Oreochromis niloticus: one gene and its partners. The protein of the gene in region 1 purifies or fractionates together with the protein of each later gene. This does not show direct contact. Links are inferred from orthologs where the notes say so. Each region holds a gene or a part of one and is shown in the gene's direction. Other genes may lie near its edges.

What was found.
Region 2: the proteins of cpsf2 (region 1) and sympk purify together in Homo sapiens (co-immunoprecipitation; 8 studies listed by BioGRID and IntAct, with this or other methods). This does not show direct contact. The link is inferred for Oreochromis niloticus from reciprocal best matches to the Homo sapiens genes CPSF2 and SYMPK.
Region 3: the proteins of cpsf2 (region 1) and fip1l1b purify together in Homo sapiens (affinity purification with mass spectrometry; 7 studies listed by BioGRID and IntAct, with this or other methods). This does not show direct contact. The link is inferred for Oreochromis niloticus from reciprocal best matches to the Homo sapiens genes CPSF2 and FIP1L1.

The regions. Positions count from the first base shown.
Region 1 is NC_031980.2:14,772,213-14,780,122, reverse strand, and holds the start of cpsf2 (cleavage and polyadenylation specificity factor subunit 2), read left to right. Parts: upstream 1-4,895; 5' UTR 4,896-5,055; intron 5,056-5,423; 5' UTR 5,424-5,441; coding exon 5,442-5,590; intron 5,591-7,493; coding exon 7,494-7,653; intron 7,654-7,752; coding exon 7,753-7,858; intron 7,859-7,910. Other genes in the region: riox1 (ribosomal oxygenase 1), read left to right, coding at 245-279, 638-816, 1,120-1,224, 1,316-1,457, 1,563-1,683, 1,777-1,876, 1,952-2,038, 2,230-2,289. UniProt on the Homo sapiens protein: Component of the cleavage and polyadenylation specificity factor (CPSF) complex that play a key role in pre-mRNA 3'-end formation, recognizing the AAUAAA signal sequence and interacting with poly(A) polymerase and other factors to bring about cleavage and poly(A) addition.
Region 2 is NC_031987.2:7,110,881-7,118,493, reverse strand, and holds the start of sympk (symplekin), read left to right. Parts: upstream 1-4,609; 5' UTR 4,610-4,794; intron 4,795-4,952; 5' UTR 4,953-4,991; coding exon 4,992-5,060; intron 5,061-5,402; coding exon 5,403-5,468; intron 5,469-7,035; coding exon 7,036-7,089; intron 7,090-7,177; coding exon 7,178-7,251; intron 7,252-7,345; coding exon 7,346-7,472; intron 7,473-7,579; coding exon 7,580-7,613. Other genes in the region: solute carrier family 35 member F5, read right to left, coding at 110-244. UniProt on the Homo sapiens protein: Scaffold protein that functions as a component of a multimolecular complex involved in histone mRNA 3'-end processing. Specific component of the tight junction (TJ) plaque, but might not be an exclusively junctional component. May have a house-keeping rule.
Region 3 is NC_031971.2:23,839,258-23,847,098, forward strand, and holds the start of fip1l1b (pre-mRNA 3'-end-processing factor FIP1), read left to right. Parts: upstream 1-4,837; 5' UTR 4,838-5,046; coding exon 5,047-5,125; intron 5,126-5,493; coding exon 5,494-5,548; intron 5,549-7,461; coding exon 7,462-7,528; intron 7,529-7,636; coding exon 7,637-7,749; intron 7,750-7,841.

The DNA.
Region 1 (7,910 bases):
ACTTAAGCATCCAAATCAGTGTTGATTGAACCCAGTGAAGCCTGAACCATAAAATAATTGCCAGAAAATTCTCATTTTTGTGAAACTGGGGTGTTTATTGAACCTTCAGACGAATTAAAACAATAATAAAGTCAATTTGCATATGTGGGTTTTAATTTGTTTAATTTTTGCTATATCTGGTATTTTTATATATATATTTTTTTTTTTTACTCTTTCGTTTTCTCTTTTTTTCCTTTTCTTTTAGATCAGACGATGAGGTCTTGCCTGTGCTTTCGAGTCGTGAGTAAAAAAAACAACAACAACTAATCCTCTTAGTAGTTTTTAACGGTTGCGTTTTGTTAGCATAATTATTTGATGCCTCTGGGTCTGAACCTCGTGGGATCCTGGGGCAGCAGGGGAATGGGTACTTTGTAAAAAGCACTTGTAATTAAAAGTAAGAGAATGATGGTGGAGTGGGTTTGATGAAGGAGGGCAGAAAAAGAAATATTTCATGTCTTGTGGTGTCACTTACAAATGATAAATTACTGATTTGTGGAAATAAAATAGCCTCTCTTGCTTGAAAAACAGAATTATAAATAAATATAATTAATGCTGGCATAGATTTCTCAGAGGTGTCTGCTTTGTGATTTCTCTTCAGCAAACTTCGACCAGGCAGACATTGGTAAGCCGATCCTAGATGTGGTGGTAGAAGCCGGAGATCTCATCTACTTCCCTCGAGGTTTTATCCATCAAGGCAACTGCCTACCAGACGCACACTCTCTGCACATCACCATCTCCTCTTACCAGAAGAACAGCTGGGGAGATCTGCTGCAAAAGGTAGAAAACCCTCCCTGTTTCCCCCTGTGGTGCATGCAGATGAAGACAACGGCCGAACTCTGAAACGTGTGCCAGTAGTTAGCAGAAGGGTATAAATCTTGCATCCAGCATGAAGTGGTTTTGCATTGCAGGTGAAGAATAATAACCAAAGCAGTCTTTCCTGCTGACAGATGATACTAATGATCTCTGGTGGAGAGTATTTTGCTGATGGTTCATACATCACCTTTCTTTCTTAACCTAAGGATTGCCTAAGACAGTTAAACTTACAAAAGGGTATTCAGAATTTACTGCTCTTTTTTTCAGCTGGTCCCAGCAGCATTGGAAGTAGCAATGGAGGAGGACGTGGAGTTCAGACGGGGTTTACCTCTGGACTACCTGACGTACATGGGAGTACAGAATTCCGACAAGGTATTTAATGAAGTGATTTTTACCAACTTTTCAGGTGTTGTCTTCGTTTACTCCCAATTACTAGCTAAAGATAAAACTTATCCTTGTGTAGGAAGACCCGCGCAGGGCAAAGTTCTTCTCTCGAATTGATAATCTGATGAAGAGGCTAACAAATTACGCACCAGTAGATGCTGCTGTTGATCAGAAGGCTAAAGACTTCATTCATGACTGCCTTCCTCCCGCTCTCACTCCAGGTATGTGATGGAGAGAGCTGTAATTGTTGCATTAGTTTCTTTTTTCAGTGAGATGCATAATGTCACGATATTGCTTTTGATTCTAATTCATGCCATCACCCACAGATGAACTGGTCACCAGTGTACAAGGAGCACCTACGAGGTGGGAAGGTGGACAAGTAAAGGATGTGGGTGTACATATCATTACACAGACTCAAATCAGAATTCTACGTGCTCAGTGTGCCCGGTAACACAGATTTTTTTATTGACTACATGTTAAGGCTACCAATTAAAGCAGAAAAGTGTCATTGTCATTTGTCTTGTAAATCTTTACTGCCAGGTTATGCAATGACGGAGATGCCGTTCATCTTTACTACACCACTGACAACTCTAGAGTTTACCACAAAGAGGAGCTCAAGAGTTTTGAAATAAAACCAGAGGTAAACATTGGCAGATGTGTTTGTCAGGTCTCGTAAACTGTGCTAATGACGGGGTTGACTTGTTTTTCCTCTTAGTACACAGATGCTGTCGAGTTTCTGATCCATTCATATCCCGGCTTTGTGACAGTAGGAAGCCTCCCATGTGAATCTGCGCAGGACAGGGTAATTATTACCTTCACACACTCTGTGTAGTTTTATGTTGTTGGAAGGTGTCTCATATGGGGCAGCTTATCTTCAGTGTTTTAGATGGGTACCTGTATAAACAAGGTTTCTGCACAGTGAAATCACTTATTTGGTTATGTGTTTGTCATTAGTGGTTGATCCTCATGTTTTTCCCCTTACTTTTTCCCCAGATTGCTTTGGCTGAACTACTTTTTGAGAAGGGGATTATCCACACTGCAGAACCAGTGTAGCACTAGATTCTTCCACCATGGTGACTGCATGAAGAGATCAAATCACTTTATACAAAATAAGATCTTCAGTGGAGAACATGTCTGCTCCAAGTAGCCTTCATTAGCTCAACTGGAAATGGATAATGCATTTGTGATTTTGCTGTTCAACTAAAAATAAAAAAAAATTTATATATAATTTTTGGTCTTGTACAACCAGAATCATTAACAAGTACCAAATGATTTTAATTAATGGCATCTTTATTATTGGTTGATACAACTCAAAAACAGAGGTACAGGAGTCTTCTTAAATATTGTGATTTGAGGACACCCATTCGTTCACACCACACGACACAGGCTTTCAAGTAGAGAGCAGTCTACCTCCAGGTCACCTCCTCTCCAGGCTTCAGTTCCCTATAAAAAGAAGAAAAATTTGAAGTTTTGTAAGATGTTTGGCTTTCACAGCGCAGAATGATGTATGAGCACAGTTTTACACCAGAAGATCACTACTGGAGTTATTGGCTGAAAGTGGAAAAGTGTATTACTACATTAGAAACAAAAAGTGTTATATGGAAATCTATTAAAGTGGATTTGCATAGATATAGAAGGCAGTTGCTTATTAATTGAGCCTGCATATCTGTAAGGGGTCTTTATTGCATTCAGCATTGCATCATATTTTGGCCTAAATACACCAAAATAGACAAGATAAAACACAAACACAGGATGTATTAAACTAATTGTCATTATTCTGCGTCATCTTATGTGTTTCAAATATTTACAGGTGGATTTTTTATGAAATTGCAGATTTCATGTATTTATAACTTTGCCAAATTGAAAATATCCATGCACTGAACTAATAACTCCAGACCATGGGCTATTGTGTACACAGTGACAAACATCACCATGAATTCAACATAGTAGTTAGTCTTTAAATTCAAGAATAACCTGAGGGATTTGTTTTGTTTTTATTTGGTGAACAGTCACTTGTTCTTACCTTCCGTACAAAGCACTCTTGTTTCTGAAAGCTGTCAACTTCTGGTCCTGTTGCTTGTCAAGGTACCATCCAATGACAAAGCCCGTGGGGACAAATATGTGTGCCCAGTACTGGCGGGCAAAGGCTGCCAAGTTCACCATGGTTCCTACCTAAAAAAAGGAAAAACAGCATGGGTTTTATACTCCCAAATTAAACTTATGATTGCAGTTGGACATTCATATTTGTATAATAAGAAAAATGGATGCAGGAAAGCACAAGCATAAATGATACAAGAACATTTACCACTATTGCTGAAAAGTCTGATCTCTGTTTAAGCTATCTGAAAGGCTAAATACTAATATAGCAATATCTTATTGCTTTCTTTTAAGATACACCATTGATACACTGGCATCACAGATTCCACTGTTAAATAAACAAATCAGTTATTAATTCATGATTTTAAATGAGGTTCTCAAATGAATAAGGGTAAAAGTTAACTAAAATAAAATTAGGGGAAATACTGTTAAAAGTGTAGGAAATCAGATCACTTATTACTGAAGTGACTTATTAAAAGTAATAATGAATGCAACAACACCTTTCATCTTTTAATTCCACTTTTTTCCATTTAGTTACACAGATTTAGATTTTGCATTTACTCGGGTTATCTTTGTCTAATGTTAAAATTTGTTTGATCTGAAACAAATACTCAAAAAAGGAAAGGGAGAATGCTTTTTCATAACACTATATCTGTATCGTGCCACCATCATTATTTTGATCATGCTGCGAGTCCCAACCATTGAAAGAGACGTTGTAATCTTTAGCAACATGTAGTATTCCGGGGGTAGCCCATGTTCACAGATTTAGAGGACCTGCAAAAAACTTCTAGAAAACGAAATCAGCTAATGTTCTCGACTAAAAATGACAGACATTTGTTTGCACAATTAGCACAACAACTGTCTTTAAACGCCTACTTTAGATTATAAGAATGTGTACACCTTAACAATGTGTTACAACATTTCTTTATGCACTTCAATGAGGTTTGACAGGCAAAGCTTAAATGCACATCAAGCTATGTCAAAGAACAGACCACGGTCACTTCAGTTATTATATGGTGGCCATGCATTACATTACAGCTATATATATGAAGCTGAATACTAAATATCCAGTAAGTCTGCAGATCGTTCATCACAAACTTTTGGTATCCTAGAGAGAGGCACTTGGCTAGCTAGCCTGTCAGCTAGTTAGCCTTAGCAATATGTTTCAAGGTGTAGTTAAGGATTATTTCTAAACTGCACTAGTTACTGTATTTTTAGTACGATAAACACATTAAAATTCACTGACTCGACCAAAAAAGAATAATGAATATAATATATAATATTAATATCTAAAATAATACCTTCTGTTTACACCAGCCGCGGCCTTCAGCTCCTCATTCACCAAGCGAAGGACATCGGATTCTACCAACTGTAAACTTACGATGTGGTGGTTTCATATTTTTAAATAATTAATTTTAATGTCAAAGCACAAGTAGTGGAATATTAGATACGTTCCAACACTGAACATATGATGTTAAAGGTGATGTGTTCAGATACCTTTCGAAAAAAAAATCTAAATGTAGTGTTTTAACATAGAATTATTTAGTACCGACACCACCATATGTGGTATGCTCCTTTGCCCTTTCACACATGATGCAGCGGCAAATATGTCTGCCGCTATCAAAAACGCGAGCCAAAATGGTTTAATTTGGGAATAACAGAAAAAAAGATTGTTGTTTGTTTTTTATTCCAGAAGACTAATCCATTATTTTACAATTAATGGTATGGTGCACGCTCCTTTGTTAGTTCATTTACACTCATTAGCTAGCACTGTAAATACACTTTGCTGGGCAATCTGCTAACAACTCTGAGCTAGCTGTGGCTAGCAACAAAACTGTGTTTACATTTTATTTACTTACAGCCTGTAAGCTGCATACATCACAGGTTAAACTTGTGCAACATTACGCTGTTAGCCTCACACACAGTTTAATGGCAAACTCCAACCATGGTTGTGTTTGTTTTCTTTGTTGATTAAATTGAATGACTTTTCTCAGAGTCGCACTCACACACATAAAGAGCCACGCGCCTTAGATTAAGTGGGAAAGGTTTCGTGGTGAGTATAACATGCAAGCACAATTCTTATATTTCAGCGCGACAACTGAAGAACCATGACGTCCATTATCAAGCTAACAGCCGTGTCAGGGGTTCAGGAGGAGACTGCCCTTTGTTACCTGCTGCAGGTGGATGAATTCCGCTTCCTCTTGGACTGCGGCTGGGATGAGAACTTCTCCATGGAAATCATAGATGTTATGAAGAGGTCGGTATACCGCCAGTCTTTCAAAAAGAGTTGATGTTTCTAATTTAAAAAACTCTTAGCAAAAAGTAAATGTGCCTTTATGAACTCACTAAACACAGTACACCCACAGCAGTCTGGTTTATTGATGACTGACCTCCCCACCCCGAAGTAGGGGAAAGAAAGCTTGTGCCGACCTTTTATTGCCATAAAAGAAAGTTTATAATACTACTACTACTACTGGCCGTCATTAGACGATGGGTGTAGGTTTTGTAGTCTTGTAGTCTGAGGGTCATCTCCCAAGAATTTCTTAACATCAGACCCCCAACTTACCTCACTTATGTTAAATTTGTACTTTTTCTGTCTCATCTTGTAGTAGAAGAATATCAGGCGCAAGGAGATGGTTCAACATATATGGAGAGATTTCCAAACTTAGTCCTTTGCTTCTTTATGCTTTCATTAGCATGGACAAATGTATGTCTTCTAATTCTATTGCTGTTTCCTATACATATATACAACATGAATTATCCTAATTCATACTCTAATGGCAATTTTGTAGATGTTAAGATTTTCACTGGGAGAAAGAATTAGATCAGAAGGAAAGTTCAGGTTGAGCGGTTTGGAGACCAAATTTAAAGAAGTATGGCTGAGATGATGTTGTTGTGAATATGTTGGACAAAGAATGTTAAATATGGAGTAGCCAAGCAGGAGAATAAGACCACTGAGACGAGTTACGGATGTAGTGAAAGAGGGCTTGTGTGACAGAGGAGGATGCTAGAGATAGGGTGAGATGGAAGCAGATGATGTACGATGAGGACAGTGGAAAGAAGAAGAGTGGGAATTATTAATGATGCAGTTTGGTTTTTATTATGCTTTCCACCTAGAGCTTTTTATTCACATAATAGTTGTGTTCTTCATCTCTGCCTGTGAATGTGAATCATTCTTAGCTATGTAGTGCAAGAGTGCAGAATTAAAGGATGTCTGTCGTCTTCTAACTATGCCATTATTGCACATTCACCTTCATGTCTGTCCTTGCCTTTGGTAGTCTTCTCTCTCTCGCCCTCTCAACATATATATAAAACCCTGTCTATTATAGTACTTTATCACCAATGAGAAATTTCATACTCATCGTTTCTAACTGTATCAGTTGGATGAACATCTATAGAGTCGAGAATAAAAGGGACAGCTCTACTTTTGAGGCTTCCAAACTACCTAAAATCTCTTCTTTTCTCACATCTAATAACTACAGCTACAGAGATTTCAGAGACAGTGGTTGAATTGTAACTTCCAGGGAAAAAAATGTTTTTTAAATTCTTATTTTAGTGCAAAGTCAGGAAACCTCCAAAGTGATTTTTACACAATTTGAATAGCTATCTTAACACCAAGAGTATCAGAAGTAACCCTTGAAGCTCTTTTCTTGCTTATAGAGCAAGATGACTGGGTTTGTATCAGAAATTGGTGAGGGTGGTCTCTGCCTATTCAGTTACCCTTGGAAAAACCCCAAAAACTATGTCAATGGTTGTCACGTCTTTATTGATATGTAATGAGGTGTCAAAACTCATCATTAAGGGTACAGGGCAGTTCATGAAATGTCATCTTTGTTGAGGGGGAAAACATTAAACACAACTTTAAATATTTCCCATGTGCACATGTTAGTTGGCTTTGTTTCTGGAACTGTGCACCTTCTAATCTTGAATGAATCGCAAACTGTCCTCAAAGTAGAGGCCACTAGAAGCCTATATTACCCTTGTAAAATGTAAAGCTTTATTATCTGTCTGGACTCCTTGTGAATGCGTATTGTTCTCCTTTAAAGAACAAATTTTGATCTTGTGAGACGAGACTGTGCGATTGAATAAAGATTTGAATTAAACTACTCCACTTTTCTGGGACTTGAACCTGCTGCAATGCTCTTTTTTCCCCTCTCCAGACATGTTCATCAGGTCGACGCTGTGCTGCTCTCCCATCCCGACCCCATACACTTGGGAGCCCTGCCATACGCTGTGGGCAAACTGGGGCTGAACTGTACTATCTATGCCACGATTCCTGTCTACAAGATGGGGCAGATGTTCATGTACGATCTGTATCAGGTAAGAAGGGGATGTGGGTAATGCATGATTTAATTAACAGAGGGTCTTTTTGGCTTGATTACCATTGCTGTATTAAATTCTCTCTTTCTTTCCATGTAGTCCCGAAACAACAGTGAAGATTTTACACTGTTCACTCTTGATGATGTGGATGCTGCTTTTGATAAGATCCAGCAGCTGAAGTACTCTCAGATTGTCAATTTGAAAGGTGTGTTTTATTTGCAGAACATCAGAGGTCAGGTGTTATTCCCTGTTTATGC
Region 2 (7,613 bases), on another chromosome or scaffold:
ATCTTTTTCTGCTTTCTGTGGTGGATGGGTCACATTAAACATGGTCACCGTTTTATTAAGCCTTTTCAGTGTTTGGCTCCAACATCACAAGCGTGGAGATCAGACTTACCGAGGTCAGCTCGGAGGAGGCAACCCAGATGACATCCACCAGCAGGAGTATCACCACCCCCAGAGCCATCCGTCTCCGCTGGGCTGCAGAGCTACCCTGAGAGCTCATCCGGTTCATGATGAACACCCACTCCATCGGGACGGTGAGAGGGGAAATTCAGAAACTGCCTCGCTGATGACGACATCAGAAGACAGGCAGTGAGCTCCGAGGTTGACCAACTATATACTTCCCAACTATTTACCTTAGTTTTTTTTCGGCTTCAAAGCTGATGAACCTGTTCTAAACCCGTTTTAAAAGCTGCTATTCAACATTTTAATCACTAAAAACATCTAAAAAGTTATGAAACCACACCAAGAAATACTTCACTCTATCAACCAAAACCTGAATTTTGAACATGGCTAATCTAGTGTGGAGGTTTTTAATCTGGAAGTGGAAGTTAGACAGACAATGCAAGACATAAATAAACCTTCAGAAAACTTTCGTCCAAACAATAAGTGTGTTAGTGTCTGTAAGTTTGCCTGCAGTCAAATGTTTAAAGGAGTAATGTTATATTTTTACCACTTCAACACCCACCTGGTCGCCGCCAATACGTAAACTGAATTTTAGCCAGTCTCTTTGAAGGTCAGCTCAGATTCTTTGTTTCAGCCAGTTTAAGTTGAGACTCGCAGTTAAACACCTGCAAAAAAAATAAAAAATAAAAAAAAATTAAAAAAAATTAGAAGCCAGGAGAGTTACTCTACTGTGCTGTTTTTTAAAAGTATATCTACACCGAATGACAAATTAAAGGAAAAACAACAAATGTCCATGAGTACACATTTAACTCTATCCCCTATATTTGATGACCTCTGTTCCCTTAATGATGAGTTTGACAAGTGAGTGTATTTAAATAAAGACGAGGTTTGACGACCATCAGAATAGTTTGTGTAGCTGCACAGGCAGAGACCAGCCTCACTAACTTTTGATTCAAACCCAGTTATTTTGTTCTGTAAGCAAGTCTGAAATATGACACAAACCAATCAGTTCAGAAAAGAGCTTTAAGGGTTGCTTCTAGTCAACTTTCAAAGGGTAAAGAGTTAAACGCTGCACAGAGAGCAGACCATGGATCTGTGTGAAGAAAAGGAAAATATAAACCTGAGGCTACAGTCCCACGCACTCTGACACAAATCCTCTTCCTGATGAGGATGTGAGCGTTGCGTTAACCAGCCCAAAGAACACCTCACAGAAAAATGCTGCGGTGGAAATAAAGGCTGCAGATCTGAATGCTCATCGCTGCCTCTGTTAACTCCAGAACACTGAGCTTTGGGTGTTTGTGAGGGGTCTGCAGACACTGAGCTTTAACAATTCACTACTGTCTTTGTGCTAACATGCAGTCATCTTACTTTACAGTAATCATGTCAAAATTAAAATGCTTAACTTTTTTCTAATTTAAAGACTTTGTGAAATATCATTATTCTTAGTTTATATTATTTACTTATTGTTCCATATGTGGGTTACTGAGTGGTGGTGTGGGGAAACAAATCATACGACAGACAAATACCAGCCGACTACCCACTTTTAAAATGAGGGATAACAAATACAAATTAAGAGAAAATTAAATTTTTGAAAAATATGAAATGTTGCGGTGTATCCGTTAAACTTTGGAGTTAAACTGTGGAAGTGTTGTCCAGCAGACTGTAACTTAAATACTTAGAGTTCACCTGCAGCTGTATGTGACATGAAAGCTTTACTTTCATGCTTTACTTTTCAAGCTTTACTTTTCATTACTTCTTTGATTGTTTTTGTTGTTGCTGTGAGTGTGTTTTAGTCTGAGGTTAGAGATGTAGTTGATCTAAGTTTACTTATTTGTTGTCTCTGAAACTCTCTTTTTAACCTACCACGTAACCCGAGGTGCACCTTCTTAGAAACGCAACTACACATCAGGTCAATGCAGTACACAACTACTGTGATCGGCCTGTCCAGAGCCATTGATTACTCTTGTGCATTTCCAGCCACTTAACAATCATTGTCTCAATATAAAGACTAATAATCATAGTATCAATATAAGGACTCGCAAATCTCAGCAAATTCCTGGAGGGAGACTGCTCAATCTACTGGAAGATATCAGGGAATGTTCAAAGAGTTGGAAAAACTTGAAGGACATATATTTAGCCTGAAGAAAAAAAAAAAGAAAAAAAAAAAACCTGTCCACAACAAAGAGCTGGACCCAGAAAAGAAAAAGATCCCAGCATTTTGTTTGTTCCTATCGACCAGCAGGACATGTACAACACCAGGACACGACCACATGGTAATTAACACGTAATCCACTGGTACAAGCACAAATGCCGACAATGACGTTGGCCAATTACACAGGTTACATCATAGGTGCTACAAACACTCCCTGCAGATATCTAACTCAAGCCTTACTAGCAACACTTTTTCTGATCTAACTACTAATTTTGACCTCAGAGTTATTTTCTTTCACATATTCTATTCTTTTTACTGAGCAACTCTACTTTGATTAACCTGAAGTGATCAAATTGAAGGAAACTTGACTTAAGTTTCTGAAGACACTTTAAGTCTCATCTGAGAGGCAACTTAAGTTCAGAGAGCTGAGAGGAAGGCCTGTGTATTTACCCACTAGAGGGGCTGTCACCTTGGAGGACGTTGTTGACCCATCCTGACTTTATGAGACTCATTAGGTCACACTGGACAAGTTGTGAATGAAGAATCTCTTGCTTTAAAGGTAGCTGGTGGACAGGCCACCAACGCTACTTTGTGATGGTCTCCTTTACTGAACAGATAGATTTAAGATTACTGAGAACCTACACAGACTTTGTTTAATATTCTACCTGTTGTTGTCCACCATATGTGAATTTCACCACATATAGGATCAATAAAATCCACCCTGTGTTGAAACGAGGCGAACCATATGTTATAACAGAACTTTTTACTGCCATCGAAACACCAAACGGAGGGATAGATTTCGGTAAAATGGTGCTCGTGGCTCCATTTTCAGATAGTAGGAGACTATTTGTAAATACAATTTGTTCTGCTTGGTTTTAAACTGTCAAAAGGCATGTCCCGAACTTAAAAAACACACTTCAGAAAACTTTTAAACGACTACTAATGAAAGACATGCGTACACCTTCACTTACCCGAGCTTTAAATCCAACTATCTTCCAGCTAGCTACGCGCAGTACATCCAGAGAGCGTTGCAGTAACTCTTTAAGGTACGAACAGGTAAGCTGCTGAAAACACGACCTCCTCAAAGCTAGGCACTCACGGCTTTTAAGCTAGCTAATTTATTACCTGTTAAATTCTGACAGTCTGGAGGTCGACAGGTGTCCCGACGCTTTACTTTATAACTTATCGTGACATCTACTCCAGTTCATTGCCCACAGCTCAGGCTGAAGTCCACTTACTCAGTGTACCGCCGTCGCAGGTGTGCTGCGTTTAGCTGCTTGTTTACCTATTAGCATTCTAAGCGCTAACTGGCTTGATTGAAAAATGAAAAAGAAACAATAGTAAAATAAGATATTTTTACCCGAATGTGAGAGTGCGTCATTTAGTTTGCGCCATTATTTAAGCATCATCCCATACGCTCCGGAAATCCTGACAAAAATCACAGTTTTTAGCGATAAAAGTGTCACCAGCCCAGCGGTTGTAAACATTAGCTCAGCCTCCTGTCAGGTGACATCACTTACAGTGCAAGGCATTCTGGGGTATGAAGTCTTAAGGGGGAAAATGTTTGTTTTTTCATTTATAAACTCATACATTTTCTTGGTGTTTTCACCTTTGAAAATGACTTTTTGGAAATTAAATTGAGCAAATTAATTCAATTTTACCTCAGGCTGTGGAGAACACATCATTTACAAACACAAATAAAGAATAGGAGCTTCAAAGACGTTTTGCTCATTTTCTTTGATTTTATATGGGTCAGTAATGTTTTAGTATTATCTGAAGTCTATTGAGTGATTCCCTTACAGTTTGTAATTTTTATCCATAAAAAGTAATTTGCTTTGTACTTTAATTTCATTATACTTTTGCTTTTATCACAATATTGTTACTAGTTAATATTTTAAAAGCAATATTTTAATTAGTTTTTAGCTGATTTGGACTACAAAGCTCTGGTGGTGCTCCGTAGTCTCTGCTGCTCAGCCACAGGTTACAAACGCGAGAAACCATTTGTGTCATTGCACTATACAAATACAATCATTATACATACTTCTTACTAATTTATACATACAGCTATATTATACTTAATATTGTCTTATTTATATTGAATTACGTTGTAAATATTTTTTTGTTTCTTGTTTGTGTTTCTTGTTTGTGTTCTCATTCTTGTTGGCTTTTAATTCCGATTCATCTCATCTGTGTAAATGTGTCGTAAATGAAAATCCTTGAATCCTTGAATCCTTGAATCTTTGAGTCCTTCAATGCAAATTTTATCTGAACAGCAGGTTTCTGTTGTTGTTGTAGTGGCGCAGATGTCTCCTTTAGTGGCCGCTGTTATTTCTGCTCGTGCTTATTCACAACAGTCGAAGAAGAAGTTTGACGCCGCTTCTTTCGGTCAAACATGGCTGCGTCCATTATGAGCTAGAAGAGTTTTAGTGCTTTAGTTTAAGACGCCTCCTGCGATTATAAGTTCTTGACACTCGGGATATTTAATTGTTGTTGGAAGAACAAATTAAAGACAGGGTTAAACGGTAAGTAGCTTTTGCACATTTGTTTGCATAAAGGAGTTAAAGCAGCTCCCGCCGTTAGCACAAGGCTAACAGGAGCGTCTTATTAAAGGCTAATAAACAGCGTGTAGCACTCTGGTATAATAACACAGATAACATCCTTATTATTCGTGTGTTTACAGATCTTTGGAGCATGTTATCACCAGTGTGAGGGCCAAAACATGGACTTCTCTTCACAGGAGGGGGACTCTGAGGCCCCCGCTGTCATCGATATGACCACCAGCGAGAAGGTCCGTTTTTGTGATCGCTGATAAACATTTTAGGGGAAGATTTATGGGTTTTATGCTTTAAAAACTGGATGAAATCACAATAGTTGGGATTATAAAAATGGCGACCATTTTCAACGGCAATAGACCACTTTTTTGCCAGAAAAGCTTTTTACAAAAACGGCTTTAAAAGTCTTACATTTACCTTGCTGAAACCTGCAGCAACAAGTACATATACAGTAGGTTTGTCCTAGTGTTGAGCAGCCAGATGAGCCACAAATACCAACATATTAAATTAGAAAATCTCTCAGCTGTGCCTTTATTAAATCAACTGTAATGTAATGGGGGTCTGCTTTCTCCTTCCAGGTTGTGGAGCTCCTGAATCAGGCTGCTCTGATACCCACAGATGAGAAGCTGAATGTGCTCAAACAGGTTTGTAGCTTAGACTTTTTAACTCTGTGATACAAAAGACTGAGCACAACCCTAACCACAGGCTGTGGAGAAAGGTGGAGAATCGAAAGATGCTCAGATTGTCACTGGGAGTGACCAGAAAGGACAAGGTTAGAAATGAGTTCGTCAGAGAGAGGGACAGCTCAGGTTAATCAGTTTGGAGACAAATAGAAGCAAGGCTGAAATGATTTGGACATTTGCAGAGGAACAATAGTGGATATACAGGACAAAAGATGTTGAAGATGGAGCTGCCAGGCAGGAGAAAAAATGCCAAATAGCATAAGTAAAATAAAATAAGATAAAATAAATAAAATAAAATAAAACATGTTAAAACAAATTGAGTCAACCCCTTAAAGATTGCCAAAAGCTTCAGCAAATAAATGTGTTTTAAGAAGAGTTTTAAACTCAGAAAGAGAAGAGGCCTGCCCAACGTGCAAGGGCAGATCCTTCCACAACTTTGCAGCCGCTACAGCAAAAGCACAATCACCTCTAAATTTATACTTAGTTTTTGGTACCTTAAGGAGGTGCTGATTGGCGGACCTAAGGGAATGGGCAGGTGTATATGGTTGTAGTAGCTCCAAGAGGTAGGAGGGGCCAGGCCATTAAGATATTTAGAAACAAATAAAAGAACTTTTAAAACGATCCTAAAAGGTACAGGTAAATGTACAGGTAGGATGTTGTAAAGAGATGTGACAGAGTAGGATGCAGGAATAGGATGAGCTGGAGGATCCCTAAAAGGTGCAGCTGAAGGCAGTTTGAGTTATTGTAGATGATGACTTGGACTTGCAGGCTTAAACAAACTTTTTACTGTCAGCATATCTTTTTGGATCTACCATCAAAAAGCTTTTTTTTAACCTACACGAGGCTGCTGGCAGAAAGTCACATGTGTGATATTTTTGCTAAACATATATGATTATAAACTCTAAAGTGGAGCCATTCTGGATTTCCTGATTTTCTGTCCCATACATGTTTTCCAGCAATGGATATTCATATTAAACATGTACAAAATTTCCACTAATGAGGTTGTGTATGTGCAGGTAATCCCTGTGAGCCAGAAGGCTTCAGACGGCTATAAACCAGGAGTGTCAAACTTGTTTTAGAGCCCAGTTTGTTTTTAAGAGTACCAGACCAGTAAAACTATTGTCCTGCAACCTACATGAAAAAAATGTTCCTGTTTATTTCACTGTAAACAAGTTTAACTATACACTACTAAGGTGCCAGAGCATGGTGTTGAAGTCTCACCCATATCTGCAGCTGAGATAGTCTATTTATGAGGGGCAGCCAATCAGAAGAAAACTGACTTAAAGGGGGAGGGGCTAAAACAACTTCAGCTTCAGAGAGAGGAGGAACTTAGGGGCTGCACAATGGATTGAGTATAAGACAAAAAAGGATTATTTTAACTGTGAATTGTGCAAAGCTAGTCTAGCCGAGTCCAATATAGAGTTGGAAATGATCAGAAGATCTCAGTGCAACCGTGTAGACTGGTGTCTAATCCACTTACCCAGGAATGCACAAGAACATTGATTCAGTACATGTATTTAACCTTCAGGTCCAGGAACTCATCATCAACAAGGATCCATCTCTTCTCGACAATTTTTTGGATGTAAGTAAGCAAGTATTCGGCTCTCATAACCAGCTATAGTTTCATTTAAATTTGCCTCATTTTTGTTACTTTTTTTTTTGTCCTGTAGGAGATAATCGCTTTCCAGACAGACAAGTCCATCGAAGTGAAAAAGTTTGTGATCGGCTTCATCGAGGAGGCATGGTGAGTTTTCAGACCTGCTGTTGTTTTGTTTGTTTGTTTTTTAAGTCAGGGTCAGCATTTGAGATTTTTTTACTGTTTTATTATCTGCTTTCAGTAAAAGAGACAACGAGCTCCTCCTCAGACTCATCGCCAACCTGAACATGTTGCTGAAGGATGAAAGTGTGAATGTGGTGAAGAAAGCCATCCTCACCCTCACCCAGCTGTACAAAGTCACACTTCAGGTACAAAGAGTCAGATATACCGGCTTCATTTCTACCTTTTCTTTCTTTATGCGATCCGTTTCTGTTCTTCACTTCGTCTTCACTTCCTTTATCTTTTCTCGTCTCAGTGGTTGGTGCGCTCCAAAGCTGTGTCAGAAATGC
Region 3 (7,841 bases), on another chromosome or scaffold:
GGTTTATACTACTGTATTTATGTGCCACAGTCTGGATGTATTGGATTAGTGTTATTTCTATGTTAGGATCCTTGAGTTAATTTTAGGATATTATTGGTATGATTACGTATGTCGAATATTATATATTTATTTGGTGTGTTTGGGTCCTTGTTTATAAGCTGATGATAGCTTTTCGAAAGTGCCATTTCATAACTATTTTATATATTAGCATACTAGTATTTGCATTTTAATTGATTTGTAAATAAGCTGAAACCTACAATACAGAAAGCTCACACGAGTCAGGCTTTCTGTTTCCTTGTTTCTAGTGTTTGTGCTAAGTTAAGCTAACTGCCTGCTGTCTGGAGCTTCATATTTAACAAACACACATGAAACTGAAAGAGATCTTTTCATCTTTTTCCAATAGATGAAAAACCCTAAAATGTCGAACTTTTGCTTGAAACAACAGCAGAGAAAACACAAGTTTTATATTCTGAATTTTCACATTAAAACAGTTTAAAACAAACTCAGATCTTTTATTTTGTAAGGCCTTAGCTTGAATGAAATGTCCGTAATTAAAGAACAGATGGATCTTTGTATTGCAAAACAAAGAAGGAGAAAATGCCACGTTAAGCTGTCATTGCATCATACCGTTGATATAACCATTTGTTTGATCCAAAGAGATGATGTGGATTGAAAATGTGCCAGGGTGCATATCAGGGGAAGCTAATATCAGCGTGTGTAATTACTGATAGCCCAACGATCGCCCTCTGCTTGGATAAACCCGATTAGGATCGACTAGGCTGTAAGCCTCTCTAATCCACCGTAAGGAGAGAGGGATGGATGCAGGGAGGGAGGAAACTCAGAGAGAGACAGGGTGGCACATAGGGTGAAGGGGAGAAAGGGAAATAAGGATAAACAAGGTGCAAGAGGATGAAAAGCAGACAGGAACAAGACAGAGAGAGAGAGGAGAGAGAAGGCAGAGGAATCGTCAGGGAAAAACAGGCGAAGAGAAGCTGCACAGTGTGTCAAAGCAGATCACTGCCCGCAGGAAAAACACAGGCAACAACACAGCAAACTGAACTCCCTCCAAACCGCTTTTATCTCCTTCCACTGTGGTTTTGACCTTTGCCACTGCATCCAAGAGTTCAACCACATTTTATTTTAAATCACGTTCCTGCTCTGTTTGACAAATGTGGTTTTTTTTCCTTTCATTCTCATTATATTCTGCAGATCTCTGTGCATGGTTGTTGTATGCACAGACTGTGGATAAAAGATGAAATGCAAAGTGCCTGAGTGCTGACTCCTCCTCCTCTGGCTGCATAATAAAGTCCAGTTTGTAAGTTTATCGGGTCACAGGGGCAGCTACTTAAGCAGAAAAACACGGAGATCCATGCCCAGTTACCAAAATAAGTTTGTAAGTCTGTAAGAAAAAAAGGCCCAGGTCTTTGATGGCACCTGTAAATGCTGAAGCAGGGTTTACCTTGAGAGTGGCAAGGTGAGAATTAAGTTGGTGGTAAGTGATTAACACTGTCTATCAGCAAGATTACACAAAAACTACTAAGCAAAATTCAATGAACGGATGGACAGGTGGGAATGACAGAGGAACTCTTAGATCTGTGTCGTTTCTCTCAAGAAACAGGACTCTGGCACTGAACCTCGGGGAGGATGTGCTTTTCTACTTTAAATGCTGCTTTGTTGTCTTTTTGTCTCAAAAGATGCTTTGCAAGACTTTATCCAATTACGATCATCTCAGTTAAGTAAATTTGACTTTAAATAGCTCTTGAGTACATGGAAAGGAAAAGAGAAAAGGGAGAAAAGAGCATGAAAAGCAGGTGGGGGTATAAAGAAAACAAAGGGAGGGAATGTGATCAGAAAACACAGAGGAGTAACAGACTGGAAGAGAGACGCGTGAGAGGGAGAGAGAGTGAATGAAATAAATGCAATTTCCATGATCAGTTTAAGTTTGAGACCATTAGTCCCTGTACGTGTGTGTGTGTGTGTTTGTGTGGTGTGTGTGTGAATACACCGTAAACTTGGGGGAGCCGCACAAAAGCTCACACATATGATGTGATACAGTAGATTCCCGTGATATGAACCCCTGTGTGGTTCTCACATACGGTATGGGGGGGAAAAAAATCAATATAATCACAACTATAGTGTTACCATCCCATTTTTCACTCTCCCTGTGAGAGAGAGCACGCACTACATAAAAATTAATTTCATTTCAGCCTCAGATAAACCAGTGAGCGTCAGAACTCAGGCCACGCCTCTGTGTAATTTCCACTGTAAAAACTGAGGGAGAGTGAGAGAATCCACAGATTTCCTTGTCCTTTACTGACAAAGCTAAAGTGGCTCCACTTAACTGGTCAGAGGCCATAAATGCATTAAGAGTTTTCTTTGCATTAGCAGGCAACTTCTTGTGCAAACAACCACAACAGCAATCATGAGAAGTCATTTCGCTGCTGATGAGTCTGCAGCTGCTTCTTGAGGTTATAAACTTATAAAAGCTCTTTGAGAGAGGCAAAGTTTAAGTCTTTATTCCTTTTCTAAGGCAGGAGCTGATGCGGAGGTATGTCTCTAGTGGCATTCGTTTGTTTGTCGGCAAGATTACACGAAAACCATCGAGCTGAACTTCATGAAACCTGGTGGAGAAGTGGATAGCGACCAGAGAAATACCTCAATAAATTTTGTTGTGAATCTGGATTACTTTTCTTAAAATTACAATATAGTACATTGGCTTTGGTGAAGAGCTCTTTTGTTTTCACAACCTCTGGCTTACACATAACATTGTTTAACATCATTTATTTATTGCTTATAATTTGCATTAGTAACAACTTACTTGCTATAACCCAAAAAAATAAAGAATACAGATAAAATAGTCAAAAACTAGGAAATAACAACCTTAAAATTGTGCTTTATTGAAGTAGCCTGCATAAGGAAATGTACTTAGTTGCTTCTACTGCTTTTCCAGAGATGGCTTAGCTGTAAAACTTGCATTGTCCTTGGAAAACCTGCAATTCTGCCCTCACAACTTCTTTGTGTTTTGGTTTTTTATGATTACCTTGTCCAGTGAAGTTTCATTTCTATCAAAGCCAACTAGAGGCAGGGAAATGCTTACTGTCCAGAATAGACAGATTATGAGAACCATCAAAACATTTCGAAGGACTAAATAGTTCAGCTGAAAACACATTAGACTATCTTAAGTGTGGCATCCCATGATATACTAAAAACAAAAGTAGATTTATTTATGTCAATTTACCAGGCGGAAATGCAAACAAATAGAAGGCTGAAGCGTCTACATGGCCTTTTACATGAGGTACAGTGTGTGCCCCAGGCCACTGGCTGTACTGCCTTCAGACTCAGACACAACTTTCTTAAACAGATCAGGCACTTTGATCATTTACAGCATAAGTGCAGGGGGAGCTAATTTAATGAACGATGAAAGCACCATGGTAAGACGTGACACTGAGCCTTCGTGCAGGACAAGGAGCTTGAAACTCACTCAGCTAAATGGAGTACACAGTGTTTTTTTTTAATCATCTGGACATGTGCTTATCCTGCCCTGCTATGCTTCGCATGTGCTGAGGCCCTGAGGGGCATCATTTTTCCCAATGCATGTGGAGATAGGAATATGAGAAAATTTCCTACCAGGGTTTGGCTGTCAGTCTGTTCTTTACATCACTTCCATTTTCCCACGCTGCAAAACTCAGTGCTGACATAATTGCTCTAGTCCAGTCATCTTTCTGCCAATCAGCTTCCACTCTACGTACTTTACATCGCACTGGCCATCTTTCATTCTTCCTTGCAGATTCCTTCATGCAACCCACCTCCTCCCCAACTCCACCTCATGCAAACCACTCATCCAAGCCTCCATCTTATCTTCACCACCACGAGAGTCTAGACTCCAGAGCGAAAAACTTGACATACGGATATGGATAATGGATATGTGCAGGGTATCCATTAAAACCATTTGAGGAAACTGGAATAGAACAGTAAAAAAATAATAAGTGGAAGGCCTAAAAAACTCTCTACAGCAGATAAACAGTATCTGAATGCCATGTCCTTAAGAAATAGAAGAAAATCCCACAAAGACCTGACCCAGGAGCTGAGGGTTGCATCTGGCCTCTTCAGAAATGTTCTCAGTGGAAGGGCGGATAGCAAGAAGCCTTTCTTAGTGAAGGAAGGGAAGAGAAACAGGGACAAAAGGCCAAGGTATGCCAGATTACATGAGGGCTGGTCTGAAAATGAGTGCCAACAGATCTTGGAGTGATGAATCCAGATTTGAAAATTTTGATTCGAATTGTCACTATGTACAGAGGAGGTCAGGAGAGAGGTACAACAGTGAGTCTCTAGGGCCAACCATAAAACATGATGGAGGCTCTGTCTGTCTGACTGGCATCGGCTTCATTTCTCATAATAACGATGATCCCAAGTACAGTGCCAATGCACTAACAGTATACCTGGATTCAAAAACACAGAAGGATCACCATCAGTCATGGATTGGCCTCCCCAGAACCCAAACCTCAACATCATTAAAGCAGTGTGGGATCATCTTCACAGATAACAGAACAAAAAGGCAGCAGAAGAGCTTTAAATGCCCTTCAGGTTGTACTGAGTAATAAAGTTTGTAGCAAAGTTTCACTTTCTCCTAGAAGAAAAGCAGAGCTGGAAAAGAGAGTGAAGAAGCACTTTCGGGCATGTATTTGGGTGGTTACTTTGAAAAAACAATCTAACTAATTGTCACAGCACAAAATAACGTTTTATTTAATTCTTTCACTGTCGTGTTAAAAAAAAAACGCGACATAAAAAAGGAGCCGTTAGTTTGCCCGCTGGGGGCGCTGTGTTTTCTCCCATCACCCTTGACATTAGCGGGATGCCACCAATCTCTTCCGGGTTCACTCCGACTCGCAAAGGTTGGAAATGAACCTATGAAGACATAATTTATGTACATAACCACGTTTCCACGATAAAGGGAGAAGTTTTACTGTTATTTTTGCACCTGTGAGCTTTATTGAAGCTTGTAGTTGTTGAAGCCGCTGCTGGTTTAGCTCTCCGTGTAAGTTTAACATGTCTGCGGAGGAAGCGGACAAAACAGCCACCACTGATGCCAGCGCCGGAGACGAGGAGGAGGAATGGCTGTATGGAGGTAAAAACAACCACCTGACGTCCACAGAAACGGTTCCTTCGAACAGACAGAGACGTGGAACACGATGTCTCTCGCTATGTTCCTAATTAACTGCTAACAACAGATATCACTGTGCGCTATCCCGTTAATCACGAGCGTTAGCCTGGAAGCTAAGCTAGCAGCGGGATTTTGGTCGGCCTGTTGTGGCTGCACCGCTCGAGTCAAATCATTTGAGTATTACTCTGGCTTGTTATAACGTTTAACTGGACTATGAAGTGGCGTATGTATTTTCTGCAGCTCACCTTGTTAGTTAAAAAAAACAACAACTTCAGTTAAATATATATTAGATAACGATAAATGAACTCAGTTGCTTTTAATTTCTGTTCCAGATGAGTCAGAGAGCAAAGACGAGGATGAAGAAGCCAAGCTGAACGCTGCTGTCAGGTAACTATAATTCAGTCCTAGCCTGGATTTAAAAAAACAAAAAACCCTCTGTGTGTACCACATTTCAGGGTCAACGAGCGTTGGCAGAGTAACTAGCAAAGGTAATATAGTTCAGTACAGCTATCAGAAAATCTTCTCACGAACTCTAGAAGTATTTCAATTTCTAATAATTTTTAGATTTATTGAGGTGGATTTCAGCTGATGCTGTATCCCTGGGAACGGATAAAAGGCACTATTAATACACACGCAGAGGTCACTTTATTAGCTGCACCTTGCAAGTAACTGGGTTGGGCCGCCTTTTGCTGTCAGAACTGCTTTAATCCTTTGTGGCATAGATTCAGCAAAGTGATGGATGCATTCATCTGAGATTTTGGTCCATGTTGACGTCATGACATCACACAGTTGCTACTGATGAATCGCTGTACATCCATGAGAATCTGATGAGATATAGGTAGGCTGTATCCTACCTGAGAACCTACCAATATTCAGGTAGGATATGGTGTTTAAATAATGCTCAGTTGGTGTTATGGGAGCCAAACTGAAAATATCTCCCACTCCATTACATCACTAACAACGCTAAGCGGCAGCTACAAGGCAGGATTTGTCAATGCTGTCATGATATTCGTGCGTACCATCTGAATGTTGCAGCAGAAATCAATTCTTTGGTTGGTTATTTGGTTATATGATCTACTGCTGCCGTCCTCAGCTTGAATCAACCCGACCATTTACCTTTGACCTTTGGCACTGAGAGAACTGGATAGTTTTTCTTTCCTTATTTTCCCAAGCCCATTCTCTGTAAACCCTAGAAATGGTTGTATGGGAAAATCCCAGTGGATTTCTGAAATCAGCCATGTCATGCTGATCCATCCAAACTAAAATCACATGCGAGATGCATTTACTGCTATGTGATTGACTGATTAGATTGCTTTACATCTAGTATGTTAGAATATTATTGAAAAGAGAAAATTATGAGGATGTTGTTTGTCAGTCGTTAACTGTACACCTCATCTCTTCATTTATACTCATCCACATGTGCTGCAGATGCTGATGACACTATTGCTGCTGTCATAGATTCATTGATCCTACGGGGGAAACTCTGTTACAGCAGCAGCACAAAGAATAAAATTAGTGTAATATAATCTAATCTTGTTTAGTAAAGGTACCTCTGGCTCATAGTGAATGCTTTATAATGACACCGTTATTAAATTATCCCCAGCCTTAGACAGATTCATCTAACATATCTGTGACAGACCAAAAATAATTTTGGCTTACTAATATATCATCACCTGGGCTCCACCTAACATACAGACATCTTACAGTTACATTATGTGCTTAAATTTGAATAACAAAAGTGGTTAAACATATTTAAAAAAAAAACCAAAACAAAAAAAGTCAGCAGGTCACATGAGTACGTGTAAATATCTAGTTTAATTAAAAGTTACTAAAGGAGACTTAAAAACAAACTAATAGTCTTTTGAAACATAATTTTCTCCTAGTGTTTTACATACAGATAGATTAAAGGAAAAATGTAACACCTTGACCTCTACAGTGAGGTCATGCTGTGGCAGCTTTATGTTTTAAGTGACATTTTGGTGGCATGTTTTGTTTTTTTAATACTTGTTCTCTTTAAGATAAGGGTCACTGCAAGTAAATATAGTGTTTCTAAAAGATCCCCTTTATCCTTTGATTAAATTTTCCTTCCTTATTAGAATGGCCTCTGTTAGGATGTCAGTGCTCTGATGACTGAATAGTTTAAAGAGTATGAAAATGATGTAAATCAGATGTTGTGGCCTTCACAGTCACCAGATCTCCACCAAGGTGAAAAAACTTTGTGAGATTTTGGACCCAGAAACTTTGGACTGAGAAGAAATTTTATATTTGGTCTGTTGTGTCTAATGTTTTCATATCTGTAGTGCCCCTGCTGATGCTTCAACAGATGATGCTGCTGCGCACGCTACAGGAAATGGAGTTGCCTCTGAGGTGTGTAGCTTACATGCACAGTTTCAATAATTTTTGTTTGTTTTTATTACGAACCTAGATTCAACTCACTGAATGTTTCTTGTGTTGTTTTTGTTTCTGGATTTTCAGGCCACAGGTGAGGCTGCAGGCGAGGATGTGGAGAGCGACAGCGACAGTGACGATGACGACGATGATGTCCGTGTCACGATTGGAGACATAAAAACCGGAGCGCCACAGTACACGTACGTTTGAGGCAAATTGTGGTGCTGTACATATTTTTATAGTTTGTGGCTGGTTTAAATAAAAGCTGCTGGGTGAGGTTTCTGATTCGGAG